Linked DNA regions of Macaca fascicularis. The protein of the gene in region 1 interacts with the protein of each later gene in a pairwise test. Links are inferred from orthologs where the notes say so. Each region holds a gene or a part of one and is shown in the gene's direction. Other genes may lie near its edges.

Evidence for each region.
Region 2: the proteins of DDIT3 (region 1) and CEBPE interact in binary tests that used the Homo sapiens proteins (3 or more experiments, as listed by UniProt). The link is inferred for Macaca fascicularis from reciprocal best matches to the Homo sapiens genes DDIT3 and CEBPE.

What each region holds. Positions count from the first base shown.
Region 1 is NC_088385.1:64,326,510-64,333,831, reverse strand, and holds the start of DDIT3 (DNA damage-inducible transcript 3 protein), read left to right. Parts: upstream 1-3,095; 5' UTR 3,096-3,210; intron 3,211-3,281; exon of another isoform or gene 3,282-3,316; coding exon of another isoform or gene 3,317-3,379; intron 3,380-6,022; coding exon of another isoform or gene 6,023-6,064; 5' UTR 6,065-6,070; intron 6,071-6,761; 5' UTR 6,762-6,805; coding exon 6,806-7,012; intron 7,013-7,100; coding exon 7,101-7,322. Other genes in the region: DDIT3 upstream open reading frame protein, read left to right, coding at 3,317-3,379, 6,023-6,064. UniProt on the Homo sapiens protein: Multifunctional transcription factor in endoplasmic reticulum (ER) stress response. Plays an essential role in the response to a wide variety of cell stresses and induces cell cycle arrest and apoptosis in response to ER stress.
Region 2 is NC_088381.1:90,873,748-90,880,985, reverse strand, and holds CEBPE (CCAAT/enhancer-binding protein epsilon), read left to right. Parts: upstream 1-3,471; 5' UTR 3,472-3,653; coding exon 3,654-4,163; intron 4,164-4,932; coding exon 4,933-5,268; 3' UTR 5,269-5,450; downstream 5,451-7,238. UniProt on the Homo sapiens protein: Transcriptional activator. C/EBP are DNA-binding proteins that recognize two different motifs: the CCAAT homology common to many promoters and the enhanced core homology common to many enhancers.

The sequences.
Region 1 (7,322 bases):
TGAAGGGCAAGGCCTCCGTCCATTCGGAATTGAAGACTTCAACCAGGAGTATGGGCACATTCCCATAATGCTAGGCCACTAGGAAGTTTCCCAGAGTGTCTGGCTCCTGTCGTTCCCTACCCAGGAAGATGATATAAAAAGTACAGATTGCCCCACAGGTCACCAGGCAATTGCCCAACTGCCCGCTGGGGTGGTACCAGCAGAACTCCCCCCATGCCTGCTCCATCAGACAATCGCTGATCTAGTTCATTCGGGTCTTAAAAGGTGAGGATCACAGCTCAGTCTTTTCCCAGGATCCTGAGAAGCTCCTGATTTTCCCTCAAGCCTAAGGCAAAGAGATTCAGTACCTCCTATCCCACTGACTCCAAAAGAGCCTGTTCTCCGATATCTCCAAGAGAGCCTATCCTCCGATAGGAGGGGAAGCCCCTCCAATCTGCAGGTATCCTCCCCAGACTCACCATCGCTCCCACCCCACACTGGCGGCTTCCAAACTTTCCCTCTCATAACAAGGCGCCCTGTCACCCAGACTGCTTCCCTCAGCTTGAGGAGGAGGGGAAGGCGCACGAAGTAGGAAGGAACTTGGGGAGAGGGCGGGCGGAGGGTGGGCGAAGCACTGAGGGGAGGGCGGTGAAGAAGGCAGAAGTCAGGCAGTGAGAGGGAGAAGCGGCGGGGGCAGGTGAGGGCGGGGGAGTGGGGATGGGGCCGGGGAAAGGGGCCGAGAGGACGCGGAGGGGGCAGAGGGTAGGGACAGGAGGGGAGGGGAGGGGGAGGGGCGGGGTGGGGGGGCCGGGCCCCGCACTCACCGCGGCCCATGGTTCGGCCGGCCCCGCCCTGCGCAGTCGCGGCCCAGAGAGTGAGTGGGAGGGGGTGGGAGGAGGGTCGGTGGAGCCCGAGCCTCCGGTACGGCCCCGGCCGGTCCTAGCAGGAAGCGCCGCTGCCGCCGCCGCGGATCACCGAGCGGCCTCCCGCGCATGCGCCATGGGGGCCAGGGGCAGCCCTGGGGATTCCGTTCCCAGAAGGCACTGCGCAGGCTGCTGCCGCTGTCGCCGCCGCCGCCGTCGCTGCCGCAGCCACCGCCGCAGCCACCGCCGCCTCCGCCGCTGCCCGGCCGGGAGAGGGGCGGGGCCGGGCCCCCGCCCAGCGGACAGCGACGAGCCAACTGGAGGGGCCGCAGTGCGCATGCGGGAGCGCGCCTACCCCTCCCCCACAACCCCCCATTAATCCCCAAGAGAACAAACACCCCACGCGGCCCCCCTCCCTCCGCGGAAGGATCTGCGCCTCTCCCCAGGCCACTGGTGGCCAATCCCAGCCCTCCTCGGGGAGGGGCCCCTTCCAAAGCCACAGTCTGTTGCGGGAGCCAGGAATGCCAGGTCCGGGAGGGGCCAGGCCCGAAAGATGAAAGTCGCGACTTGCCCTGCCCCGCCCCAAAGGCTTCCCGGGTAGTGTGCTGGGACTTGACCCGCCTCTCCAGGTCAACATGTCACAACACGACCTCGGCCTGTCAAGTCACATGACCTCTGCCTGTCACTGACAACCTGGTCTGTCTTTAGGCCAGGAGAGACCATCTGGTCCACCCCCCACACCACCCCCATTTTCAGAGGGGAAATGGAGGTGTGGAGCAACGGAGCAGCCTAACCAAAGACCTGTCACAGAAACACCACTCCAGTCACAACCGGCCTTGTGACAGTTTCTACTTAAACTCTGGCTGCCCCCATGAGGGTATGACAGGATATGTAACAGGCCACCACATGGCCTCTGTTTTCAAGGCACAAGAAAAATACTTTGCATTCTGCGTGGTGCGTTTTACTTTTGTTCAAGTTGCCTCCAAGTTCATGGTTCTCATTTTACCCTTACAACTCGTTGATTTACAAACAAGGACGGTAAGATCCCTTGGTAAGTGAGGGGGAGTTGAGGCTAAAATCGCGGCCCCGGTCTCCCCAGTCCACGGCGGTCCTGCGCTGAAGTGCACTTACACGTCCCAGGATGAGACTCCGCTGTAAATCTCGACCCGAACACCTAGGAGGCAGGCCTGTGCCGCGCTCCTCACAGCAGGGAGTCACAGGACTTGCTGTCTGGTACAGCAAGAGAGGGTCTTGGTATTGGAGAAAGCCGTAAGAGTATAGTGGGGGAAAATAGGTGGCCAAACAGAATTGGGTCCACTGGGTAAAATACATGACTTCTGGCAGGCTGAGGGCTTAGCAACTCCAAGGTAAAAGTCAAGGGCGCTGTTGTGAGAGAAGCGGAAAATGACTACCAAGGGATTCCAGTACCTCGGCCCCTTTTGGGAGATTTACGGGGCTAGACGACCCCGGTTTTTTTTATTTGTTTTTCGTTTTCGGTGAAACGTAGTCTCGCTCTGTCACCCAGGCTGGAGTGCAGTGGCGCGATCTCGGTCACTGCAACATACGCCACCAGGGTTCAAGCGATTCTCCTGCCTCAGCCTCCAGAGTAGCTGGGATTACAGGCGCGCATCACCACACCCGGCTAATTTTTGTATTTTTAGTAGAGACGGGGTTTCACCATGTTGGTCAGGCTGATCTGGAACTCCTGACCTGAAGTGATCCGCTCTCCTCAGCCTCCCAAAGTGCTGGGATTATAGGCATGAGTCACCGAGCCCGGAGACCTCTCTAAGACTCTCGAGATGTCGACAATCCCAGTGGATGGATACCAACTTTCAAAGGAAAAGTTCAAAAGGCCTATATGACCATTAGCTGGGAGGGGCCAAGGAAAATGGGAGTCCCTTATAGTGGAGGTAAAACGCCGGCTAAAGCTCGGTGGGCGGAACAGCAGCTTCTGGGGGAGACAAGCGGCAAAGAGGCTCCACACGACCGACTACGGACGGCCAACGCTGATAGCCGTTGGGGCCGTTGGGCGCCGGGAGCTGGCGCCCCGCCCTCTCTCCTTTCCCCCACCCTCTGCACCTCCCACCACCCTCGTAGTCCCCTGCGCGTGCGCGTGCAGACACCAGTTGCCAAACATTGCATCATCCCCGCCCCCCTTTCCTCCCCTCCCCCCGCTACACTCCCCTCCGCGCGCGCGCATGACTCACCCACCGCCTCCGTGAAGCCTCGTGACCCAAAGCCACTTCCGGGTCCGACACTACGTCGACCCCCTAGCGAGAGGGAGCGACGGGGGCGGTTCTGCGGAGCTCCTGAGTGGCGGATACGAGGGACGAGGCGGGGCCAATGCCGGCGTGCCACTTTCTGATTGGTAGGTTTTGGGGTCCCGCCCCTGAGAGGAGGGCAAGGCCATGGTAAAAGATTACAGCTAGGCGCTCCCGAGGTCAGAGGCTTAAGTCTAAGGCACTGAGCGTATCATGTTGAAGATGAGCGGGTGGCAGCGACAGAGCCAAAATCAGAGCTGGAACCTGAGGAGAGAGGCGAGTACTGACTCCCATCTGCCCTTTGCCCTCCCGTCTCCTCAGAGTTGGGGCATCCGCTCTTTAGGATTGGCCTCACGCCTCCACAGTGAAGTCAGGGACCGTCCGAGAGAGGAATGGGGAGAGTCCCTTATTCTGGGGTGGTGCTTACAAACCCCCATTGCTTCGGACGACAGCGTCTCTCCACCCCTGCCCGGAGCCGGAGCATGGGCCCTGCTCTGTGCTGCTGGGCAAAGGGACCTCGGCTGCCCTAGGGAAATTCATTCTCTCCCGTAGCCAACTTCAGGCCACCTCGTTAGGCCTGTCCGCGGGGAGGCAGCAGGACACACCCCCGCTCTAAGACTGAGTTACCATCGCTCAAACCGTTTCCGCCCGTTCGCCACCATCGGCCTTCTCCCTACCCTACCCCCAATCCTGTCTCAGTCTCAGCGTCTCTGGTGTCAGCATGGCCACCTCGGTAGCTGGGGCTACTGGACCCTGCAGGGCTGAAAGGGGAACCTTGACACAAGCCTTTGGGAGGGGTGCCGATGGACAGGGAGCGGTGTGTTTTCCCTTTGCCGTAGAGGTCTCTGGGCCTCCCGCACAAGAGAGCAGCCTGGATCTCTTAAGTGTAGGAGGCCATTTGGGGTCTCCCCAGGGTATCGTCCTTCCCTCGGGATTAGTCCCTGCCTCTTTAACCCGGTCCTGTCTCCCAGCTAATCTCTGTGTAACCATTGCATCAGGCCAGCCCCGTTTGGCTCTGCAGCCTTCTGACCTGAGGCTCCACTGCTGATGAAAGCCAAGTCCCACGCACTGGAAGGCAAGGGAGGGTTCCCCAGGGAAGACAGCCCTGCAGAGAAATATTTCGGGCAATATTGCATCTCCAGTCCCTAGGGATCGGCAGCTGCCACTCTGCGTCTGCCCCTTCCCTATAAGAGAGATTGGGGAGAATTCATTCATTCTTAACAAATACTTAATGAGGACCTACTGTGTGCCAAACAGTTTGGGGCTCAGGGAACATCCGTGAGCAAGAGGAAAAAATCATCTCAGTGGGAGGCCTACAGTAAACAAAATATAAGTGCCATGGAGAAAGCTAAAGCAGAGAAAGGAATGGAGAATGTTCAGGATGGAGGTTACTGTGTTACATCAGGTGGTCAGGAATTACCTTAGGTAATTCCTCCTCTCAAAACCCTCCAATGACTTCCCTGACATGACATAGGAAGTCACTGGAGAGTTTTGAGCAGAGGAATGACCTGTTTTAAAAGGTTCACTCAGGCTGCTGTATGGTGAATAGACTTACGGAGGGGTGGCAAGAGAAGAAATGGGAAGACCTTCTGCAATCAGGAAGTTTCTGCAGTAATTGAGAGATGGTGGTGAATTGATCTAGATTGGAAAGAATGGAATTAGAGGTGTTTAAATTCTTCTAAGCAAAGTTTTAAAAACTCATTTTTAAAGAATGAGTTAAGGGCCGGGCATGGTGGCTCATGCCTGTAATCCCAGCACTTTAGGAGACCAGAGGAGTGGATCACACGAAGTCAGGAGTTCAAGACCAGCCTGGCCAACGTGAAACCCCATCTTTACTAAAAATACAAAAATCAGCCAGGCATGGTAGTGCATGCCTGTAATCCCAGCTACTCAGGAGGCTGAGGCAGGAGAATCGCTTGAACCCAGGAGGCAAAGGTTGCAGAGCGGAGATTGTGCCACTGCCCTCTAGCCTGGGCAAAAAGAGGGAGACCCGTCTCAAAAAAAAAAAAAAAAAAAGTTAAAATTTGCTAGTACTTTGGATTGCAGGGTGTGAGAGGAATGAAGGATGATACCAAGGTTTTTAGCTTAAGCAACTAGAGTTGTCATCTGAGATGGGGATGACCTTGGAAGGGGAAAATCAACAAGTTTGCACATAGTCTTAGGTACCTATTAGACATTGAAAAAGAAATGGCAAGTAGGCAGTAGACAGCAGAGTCGGAAGTTCTGGAAGAGGTCCAGACTGGAAATACACATTTGGAGGATGTCAGTGTGGGAATGGAGTTAGGAAAATGCTACAGGATGTCAGTGTGGGAATGGAGTTAGGAAAATGCTACGATTTGTTCCCTTCCCTATAGTTTAGTCTTTACCCTGGCAGGTTTAAGGCCTGCCTTGAATTTAGAGAAAGCTGAGTTGGCCAGAACTTTGCTATTATGTAACCAGGACTACAAATGTCAGCAACTAAAAATAAAGTCAGGCCCTCTTCTGCCCTTGGAAATGGCTACAGGGACCAAGTATGCATACCCCACAAGACCAGAAGTAAGGACGGACCAGTAGGAGGCTGGAGATAAAAGAAAAATAAGGGCCCAGCATGGTGGTTCACGCCTATAATCCCAGCACTTTGGGAGGCGAGTAGATCACAAGGTCAAGAGATGGAGACCATCCTGGCCAACACAGTGAAACCCCATCTCTACTAAAAACACAAAAATTAGCTGGGCACGGTGGTATGCACCTGTAGTCCCAGCTACTTGGGAGGTTGAGGCAGAAGAATCGCTTGACCCTGGAGGCAGAGGTTGCAGTGAGCCGAGATTGCGCCACTGCACTCCAGCCTGGCAACAGAGACTCCGTCTCAAAAGAAAAGAAAAAAATAAGTTGCCTCTCCCCCTTCCAAAAATGGCTAACATTTCTCTTTGTTGCCTACAGTGTTCAAGAAGGAAGTGTATCTTCATACATCACCACACCTGAAAGCAGGTAAACTTAACCTACCCTTTCCCAAAACCAAGTCCTAAGAGATGCTGCTTAGCCTCCTTTTGCTGAGACCCTAAGAGATTATGAAAAGACCTAGAGAAGGTGGGAAAGGAGGGTTTGAATCTGAGCAAGCTTTTGCTATCAGGCTGTCTATTCTCCTGGCTTGCTCCTACAAGGTGAGCAAACCACTTTTCTTAAAGAATGTCCTAATGGAAAGATGGTCCTCAAAGAAAGCCCCAACAAAGACAACTGGTTTGCCTTACCAGTCTTCAGTCAGGGTTAAACTTTCACTAGTCTTCAGTCCCACTTGCAAACTCTATTGATAGTTTCCAGGAGCAATTACCAGGTCATTTGTGCTCCCTTCTCCTGTGTGGGGAGCTCAGGGAAATAGTCCTTCAGCTCAGCCTAACCTTGATGGGGACAGGAATTTGACTAGTCCTCCAGATCCCCTAAGCATGGATATCCAGGCACTTTGCTTCTTCAAGTCCTGGGCAAAAGCAAGGAGGGAATATTAATATAAACTAGGAGTTGATAAATTTTAAAGGGCAGGATAATAAATATTTTAGATGTTAAGAGCCCTATGGTCTCTAGCGTGACTCTTCATCTCTGCCACTGTAGCACCAAAGCAGCCATAAACAGTATGTAAATAAACAGATGTGGTTGTATTCCAATACAACTTTACCTACAAAAACAGGCATCAGACCAGCTTGCCAACCTGTGGCATAGACTGTTTGCTACATGGAGCTTGTTCCAGCCACTCCCCATTACCCTGCAAATGTGCTTTTCCAGACTGATCCAACTGCAGAGATGGCAGCTGAGTCATTGCCTTTCTCCTTCGGGACACTGTCCAGCTGGGAGCTGGAAGCCTGGTATGAGGACCTGCAAGAGGTCCTGTCTTCAGACGAAAATGGGGGTACCTATGTCTCACCTCCTGGAAATGAAGAGGTAAGAATGCTAGGCCTAAAGCTAAAGGGGGATGTTATCTTTTCCTTCTCAATTAATATCTACGTTCCCTTTCTTCATTTCCTTGAAGGAAGAATCAAAAACCTTTACCACTCTTGACCCTGCTTCGCTGGCTTGGCTGACTGAGGAGGAGCCAGAACCAGCAGAGGTCACAACCACCTCCCAGAGCCCTCGCTCTCCAGATTCCAGTCAGAGCTCCCTGGCTCAGGAGGAAGAGGAGGAAGACCAAGGGAGAACCAGGAAACGGAAACAGAGTGGCCATTCCCCAGCCCGGGCTGGAAAGCAGCGCATG
Region 2 (7,238 bases), on another chromosome or scaffold:
ACCTCCGCCTCCCAGGTTCAAGAGATTCTTCTGCCTCAGCCTCCAGAGTAGCCAGGATTACAGGCACGTGCCGCCACGCCCAGCTAATTTTTTTTTTTTTTAAGTACAGACGGGGTTTCACTATGTTAGCCAGGGTGGTCTTGATCTCCTGACCTCGTGATCCAAACGCCTCAGCCTCCCAAAGTGCTGGGATTACAAGTGCGAGCCACCGCACCCGGCCCTGTCCTTCATTTTAATTCAGGAAATGTGATCACCATAGTTGAAGAGGTCCAAAAGATGTAACTGACTCTACCCTCAAAAAGCAAATAGTTTGCTAGGGGAACAAAACCAAGGATATGCATGGCACACATATGTGTGCGCATCCTGGCTCCACAGACCACCCATGCCATGCTGGAACCACTGCCTGTGGGCCTTCCTGCTGGGCTGTGATCCCTATTGGCAAGGGCTAAAGCCAACACATCCCCAGACCCCGTGCAGTGCCTGGTACCTATGTGCTCAAAAATGTTCGTCAAACTGACGCACCACACCAGGCAGCAGGTAGTGAGTGTCAAGGAGACACAGATAAAACTGCAATGAGAGGTCAGAGGAAGAGAAGAAGGAGACTTTACATTTACTAAGACCAGTTGCATGACATACACTATGTTATTCACAGTTTAAATTAAACAACCCTATGAAGGAGGTATTACTACTGCCACTTTGCAAGGAAGATTAAGTAACTTGCCCAGAGTCATGGAGTTGGTTAGTGACAGAGGCCAGATTTGAGCCCAGTTCTCTCTTAACACTTCACAGCCATGCTCAGCTACCTTCCTACTGGGAAAGTCTTAATTCACCAAAAAAGTGGCACTGGAAGGAGGCCTGTTACAAAGTCACTAAGATAACAAACATGCATCATTTCAGTTCATCCAAACAGGTAGTAACTGCAGTGGCAAAGGAAAAATGATCCTGCTGACCCGGGAGAGCTTCTTTCCTCTCCTGAGCAAGCATCCCCCAGCCACTGACTGGCACTGCCCTCCCCACCTCCCCTTCCTGTCCAGAGCTCCCCCTACCCTACCCTGACATCCAGAGCCCTGCCTGCCCCAGCCAAACCCCTGTTACTGGGAAACACTGAGGTCAGCGTACCAGCAACGTCAGCACTAGCCGGGGAGGCCGGGGCAGAGATTTATCTCACCATGGCTAAAGCTGCTGACTTTCTCATTTCCTGCGGCTCTATTTACATACCTCCCACTTCCTCCTGCGCAGCTACTGATGCAGACTTCCCTCTCCCCATGGTGGCCAAATGAGGGCCAGGAAGGTTCTCCAAGTCACATAGCAACCCCTTCCCATCCCTTCAGCCAGAGATGAACCAGGCATCCTCCTTGGATGACCTTGGGCAGCTCAGCCTCTCAGCCTTGTTATCCTTGTTTATAAAGTAGGAATAAAAATACTGTCTGCCTTGCCTACCTTCCTGCATAACCCATAGGCAAAGAGCATGAAAAAGTGTATGTTTCAAGGATTGAAAAAGCATTAATGTATCAGAAAGCACAAGGCCTATTCATTATCATTATTTCAAAGTAGCGGAGGGGACAGAATTTCTCCTCATGGAGACAAGGCCCTGGACGCAGGACTTGCAAGCTGCTTATTCTCCCTAGAACTGCACTGCAAGACCCCATCCCAGCCAGGTCTCCTCTTCCTCCTTCCAGACCCCCCGCAGGAGCTTGCTGAGAGCCAGAGCTGTGAGAGGCTGCCCTCTGCTGTCCACCTGAGTCCGGACCACAGCAGCCCTCCAAGTCCGAAATATTGGGGCCAATATTGCCACCTGGTGGTCAACAGAAGCACTGCCACCAAACTGAGAGCTCAGCTTTGAAATGGAGAAATCTCCCTAATTCCTGACATCTGTCTCTGGGATGCACACAGATCTCCTCATACCAGGTCACTGTGCTTTCAGAGAAAGCATATCTGGCTGTGTCTCAAGTCATGCACAGACAGCATCTAGGGTAGGTGTTGGGGTAGGGAGGATGGAAGGAATATGCTAACCAGAATACACATTTTTAAAATTTTAATGTTCAATGCCACACACATCCTCTCTGCACTTGTCCCACTGGGGCCCACTCACAGTGACCCAGCCCTTGTTTGGCCCAACTTACAAAAACTTCTGGCCCCCCTGGGGCACCCAGAGTACTTGCTGGTCATAAAAGAGACAGTAACATTTCTATGTGCCCTTTCCTCCCCCCCACCCCCACCCCCCCCCCCTCCGCTGGACCTTTTGGAGATGAAATTCAACAGGTAAAAGCAGGACCTGAGCAGGTGTCTCTGAAAGGAGGCAGTTGGGAGTTCCCAAAGGAAAGAGAAAAGGGAAGAGGAGAGCCAGCACAGAACCAAGAATTGCAGATAGAGAGCCATGGGCTTCTCCTGGAGACCCTAAAACAGAGCCCCAGGAAGAGGTGATGACATAAGAGGCTTCTCAAACCTCACAAGAGGAAGTAGACCCAAGAGACACACATTGGAGATCAGAGAGCAGCCATGCAAAAGGAAAGACAGCAAACGAGCTGCAGCAAGCTCCTGAGCCCTGCAGCCCAGGGCACAGGAAACCAGAGGCAGAGCCTCAGGCCCAGGGTGAGGGGCAAAGCGCCAGCCTGAGCCTCTTGCAGCAGAGAACAGCTGGAAGAGAGAAGTGCTGGAGCCACCGGAGGATTATGACTGTCTATTCCAAGGGCAGCAGCCTGCCTGGGCCTGCAGTGCAAGGCCCAAGTCCTGACCAGGTGCTTCAACCAAGCCCAGGGAGTTAGGAACTGTGCCAGGCTGCTACAGGTAGCTGGGGCTGGAAACATACTCATATTTGGGCTATTGCACAGCCCCTGTGCAAAAACCTAGCAAATGAGCGTACTCTCTCCAGCACCATGCAGGCTCCCATGTATAGCTTATTCCTAGGACCTATCACTACTCCCCAGACCCCTCAAAAACAAACCAAAACAAAACAAAACCCTGGCCTACACTCAGAGAATGCTCTGGGAGGTGAGGCCACAAAAGAAACTGTCTCCTGGGAGTAGGTGGAGCCCAGCATCAGGGGAGAGCCAGAGGAAGGCATGTCAAGGGAGGAGCTGAGACCCAACTGAGGGTCGGCACTGGAAGAGGGCTTTCTTCACTCTAACCTGGAACCTCATTCTGCATAGAACTTTTTCACAGTTGGAGGGAGGAGGACGCTCAGAGTAGGGTGTTGCCCTTGGTGAGGATTTGGAGTCCCCTGGGCTCAGGAGGGAGTGGACAGGCATTCCCAGAAGCATCAGCTTCTGGCATCTCCAGAACCCTGGCTTGGACCCTGACCAAGGAGTGTCCCCAACTGCTGAATAGGCCAGGAGTCGCCTTTCTCTAAGGCTTACATCTCTCCCTCTGGGGTGTGTCCTGCCCCTCCCTGAGTCACCCCAAGGGGAGAGAGGGGAAAAAAGGGAAGAGAAGAGAGGCATTGACTACAGAGGAAGGAAAAGGAAGCAGAGCAGAGGGGGGAGAGAGGCCACACAGGAGTGGGTGACAGAGGAGACTGCAGAGGGCAGGTCTAGGGCAGGAGATCGAGAGAGGGCAGGCCCAGGTCAGGAGGAGGTAGAGAGAGGGCAACCCGAGCACCCCAAGGGGTGCCTCAAGAGCAGGTGGGGGCGGGGAGCCGAGGGGGCGGGCCGGCCATGTCCCACGGGACCTACTACGAGTGTGAGCCCCGGGGCGGCCAGCAGCCACTTGAGTTCTCAGGGGGCCGAGCTGGGCCCGGGGATCTGGGGGACATGTGTGAGCATGAGGCCTCCATTGACCTCTCTGCCTACATCGAGTCTGGGGAAGAGCAGCTTCTCTCCGATCTCTTTGCGGTGAAGCCAGCGCCTGAGGCCAGAGGCCTCAAGGGCCCCGGAACCCCTGCCTTCCCCCACTACTTGCCGCCTGACCCTCGGCCCTTTGCCTACCCTCCACATACCTTCGGCCCAGACAGGAAGGCGCTGGGGCCTGGCATCTACAGCAACCCAGGGAGCTACGACCCCAGGGCTGTGGCGGTGAAGGAGGAGCCCCGGGGGCCAGAGGGCAGCCGAGCTGCCAGCCGAGGCGGCTACAATCCCCTGCAGTACCAAGTGGCACACTGTGGGCAGACAGCCATGCACCTGCCCCCAACCCTGGCAGCACCCGGCCAGCCTCTGCGCGTTCTCAAGGTAAGAGCAGGTCAGCCCTCCTCCCTCCTGCCCCGGGCTGGAGAGGCTGGTGTGGACAGGACCCTGTGCCCCTGCTCACGCTGCTGAGTCTGTGCTTGGTGTTGCTCTGTGAAATGAACCCAACCCACAGTCCTCTGTGCTCACACCGCACCATGACCTCCCTTTCCTTCTCTGTGAATTCATTCCCACCCTGAATCCCCACCATGTCCCAAAGACCCTGCGGCAAGCTGGCCTACCTTGATCTCAGGCCCCCCACCACCAGCCTCTCTGCTGCTCACCATGCCCCCTCCTCTTGTTTCTCTGCCGCCTGCTTCTGTAAGAAATGTCTGCTGGTCATAGAACAGGAGACTCAAGACAGATTGAGGGAAAGTGTACTCAGAAAGTGTGAGAACATTGGCTGGGTGCAGCGGCTCATGCCTGTAATCCCAGCGCTTTGCGAGGCCAAAGCAGGACGGTCGCTTAAGGCCAGGAGTTGGAGACCAGCCTGGGCAACATAGCAAGGCTCCATCTTTACAAAAAAGAAGAAAGAAAGAAAGCGTGAGGACGTGAAAGGGAGTTTTGGTCTCAAGCAGAGAACCCTGTGCATCTGGGTCACCATCTCCCAGAAGCAGGGTGATGATAGTTTTGACCTGAGAGACAGGAGCTGGCTCTGAGTCCTGTATTCCTTCGATGCAGCAAGTGTGCCCTGGCTGCAGAGATTCTCGTCCCGCCTTCGCTCTGCCTCCTGGCCAGCCCTCACCTCTCCGTCTCTCCGTGCCTTCCCCTCCAGGCCCCTTTGGCCACTGCCGCACCGCCCTGCAGTCCCCTCCTGAAGGCGCCCTCCCCCGCTGGCCCCTTACACAAGGGCAAGAAGGCAGTGAACAAAGATAGCCTTGAGTACCGGCTGAGGCGGGAGCGCAACAACATCGCCGTGCGCAAGAGCCGGGACAAGGCCAAGAGGCGCATTTTGGAGACGCAGCAGAAGGTGCTGGAGTACATGGCAGAGAACGAGCGCCTCCGCAGCCGCGTGGAGCAGCTCACCCAGGAGCTAGACACCCTCCGCAACCTCTTCCGCCAGATCCCTGAGGCGGCCAACCTCATCAAGGGCGTGGGGGGCTGCAGCTGAGTCTGGCTGGTGGACTTTGGGCACCAGGCTCCGTGGCACGGCCTGACTCTGCGAACCCCCATCCTGCTGGGGGCCTAGAACCCTGAGACATAGACCATGGATAAATGGCAACCGGGGTGGCAAGGAAGGGCAGGACCCAGCATAATGATTATGTGGCTGAATAAAGTTGCACTGTGACTGGGTGTTGGGACTGTTGGCTCTGTGTGTGTGTGTGTGTGTGTGTGTGTGTGTGTGTGTGTGTGTGTGTGTGTGTGTGTGTGTGATGGAGGACCCTGGGGACAGAGGATGCATGTGGCTAGGTCTGCACCTCTTGTTTCCATATCCAAATGGACATGTGGAAACACAGACATGCTGTCCACAGCCAGCCCCCTACATGCTACACAACCAGACCATGTATCTGCCACTCTGCTTTTCTCTCCCTGACATCCCCATCACCCGCTTCTGTGATCTGAAGGCACATCCCCGCCCCCCGCAGGACCTGGAGCAACCTTTGTATGCTCTGCTAACAAAGATCTGTAGCTTGTAGGGAGATCCTGGCACCACACAGTCCTTCATGCCCAGGCCTGCGGCTCCCAGGTCCACCCTCTCTCACCTCGAAGTATAGGTCTGGGAGCTCCTGCCCCAGGTGACCACAGGAAAATTCCTGATGGCTCTGCCATATTTATGGTCCCTTGATCCAGCCTGCCATCTCTTCTCTCCAGTTCCGATGCCTCAGTCTACCAGATGGACACCCTCCCAATGCTGCTCCCACCTACTCATTTCCATCCTTTGTCCCTCATCCCTGGGGCTCCAGTTCCGTAAAGCTTGAGAATTGAGTGCATGGGACAGGAATCAGTTGGGAGAGACCTGGAAAGCGGATTTGTGTATGAGAACACTGGTAATGAGAAGGAGGATGACAATCTGCCTGTGCCAGGGACACCCCTCACTCAAAGCAGCATTTTCTTTGGCATTGGACTCCAGCCTAAGAGACAGATGGTACAGTAATTAAGAGCCTCAGTTTGAATCATACTCTGCTACTTACTAGCTGTGAGCCTTCAGCCATTACTTCTCTCTGTGCCTCGGTTTCCTCATCTGCAAAATGGTAGCAATATTCGTACCCACTCTGTAGTGTTATATTCATAGAAAAAGAAAACTTTGCATGTAATAAGCATATTTATGATGATTCCTCCATTTTGCTGGAACTGAAAAGACCTCTGAGATCTCATCTAAACTCATTTTGTAGGTAAGAAAACAGGCCGCAAAGAGGGGAAGGGACTTACCTGGAGTCACACAATTGTTTAGAGGCAGAACCAAAATTAGCTCCATAAAATCACAGATCTCAAGATGTGCTGGAAGAGACCTCAAGAGATCATCGGCTCTGCCCTCAGACCAGCAAGATAGGGTGAGCCACATTTTATAGATAAAGCAGTTGAGGGCCAGAGGGGGTAAGAGGCTTCTCCTGACACTCACTGAGTCCCTTTGCTGCCTCGGTACATGGTACCTCTCTCTCTACTCCGTGCGACACTCTCCTCACGGATACTCAGTTTGAGTGTCACATGAATCACATTCAGTAAAGAACAGTGCTCAACAGTATCAGGGAGCCAGGGACAGATTAAGGACTTGTTAAAGTCTCTCCTAGGCCAGTGCTGGGAAAGCCTGAGTCAGACATCAAGGAATAATTTTCTGAGAGGGCAAGAGACTGGTGTCTGGATCATCCCAGATCTCTCTCCCTTCTTCAAATCTCCAGCAGTAGAGCCCTCCCACACCTCGGGCATCTGTGTGTGACATGTCTATCTTGCCCAGGACTCAGTCCTTTTCCTGCTTTTGCCCCTGTGTCTCTCGGGCACCATCTCTCCTACCTCTGTGTCCTGGAGGCCCGTGCCCCAGGTCTGGTTTGGAGGGACAGAGCTGAACCTTCAGTGTAGGGACTGATGGGAGCTTCCTGAGTTTGGAAGGAGGGGAGGTACCAGTCTCTGTGGGCACCTGGGAGA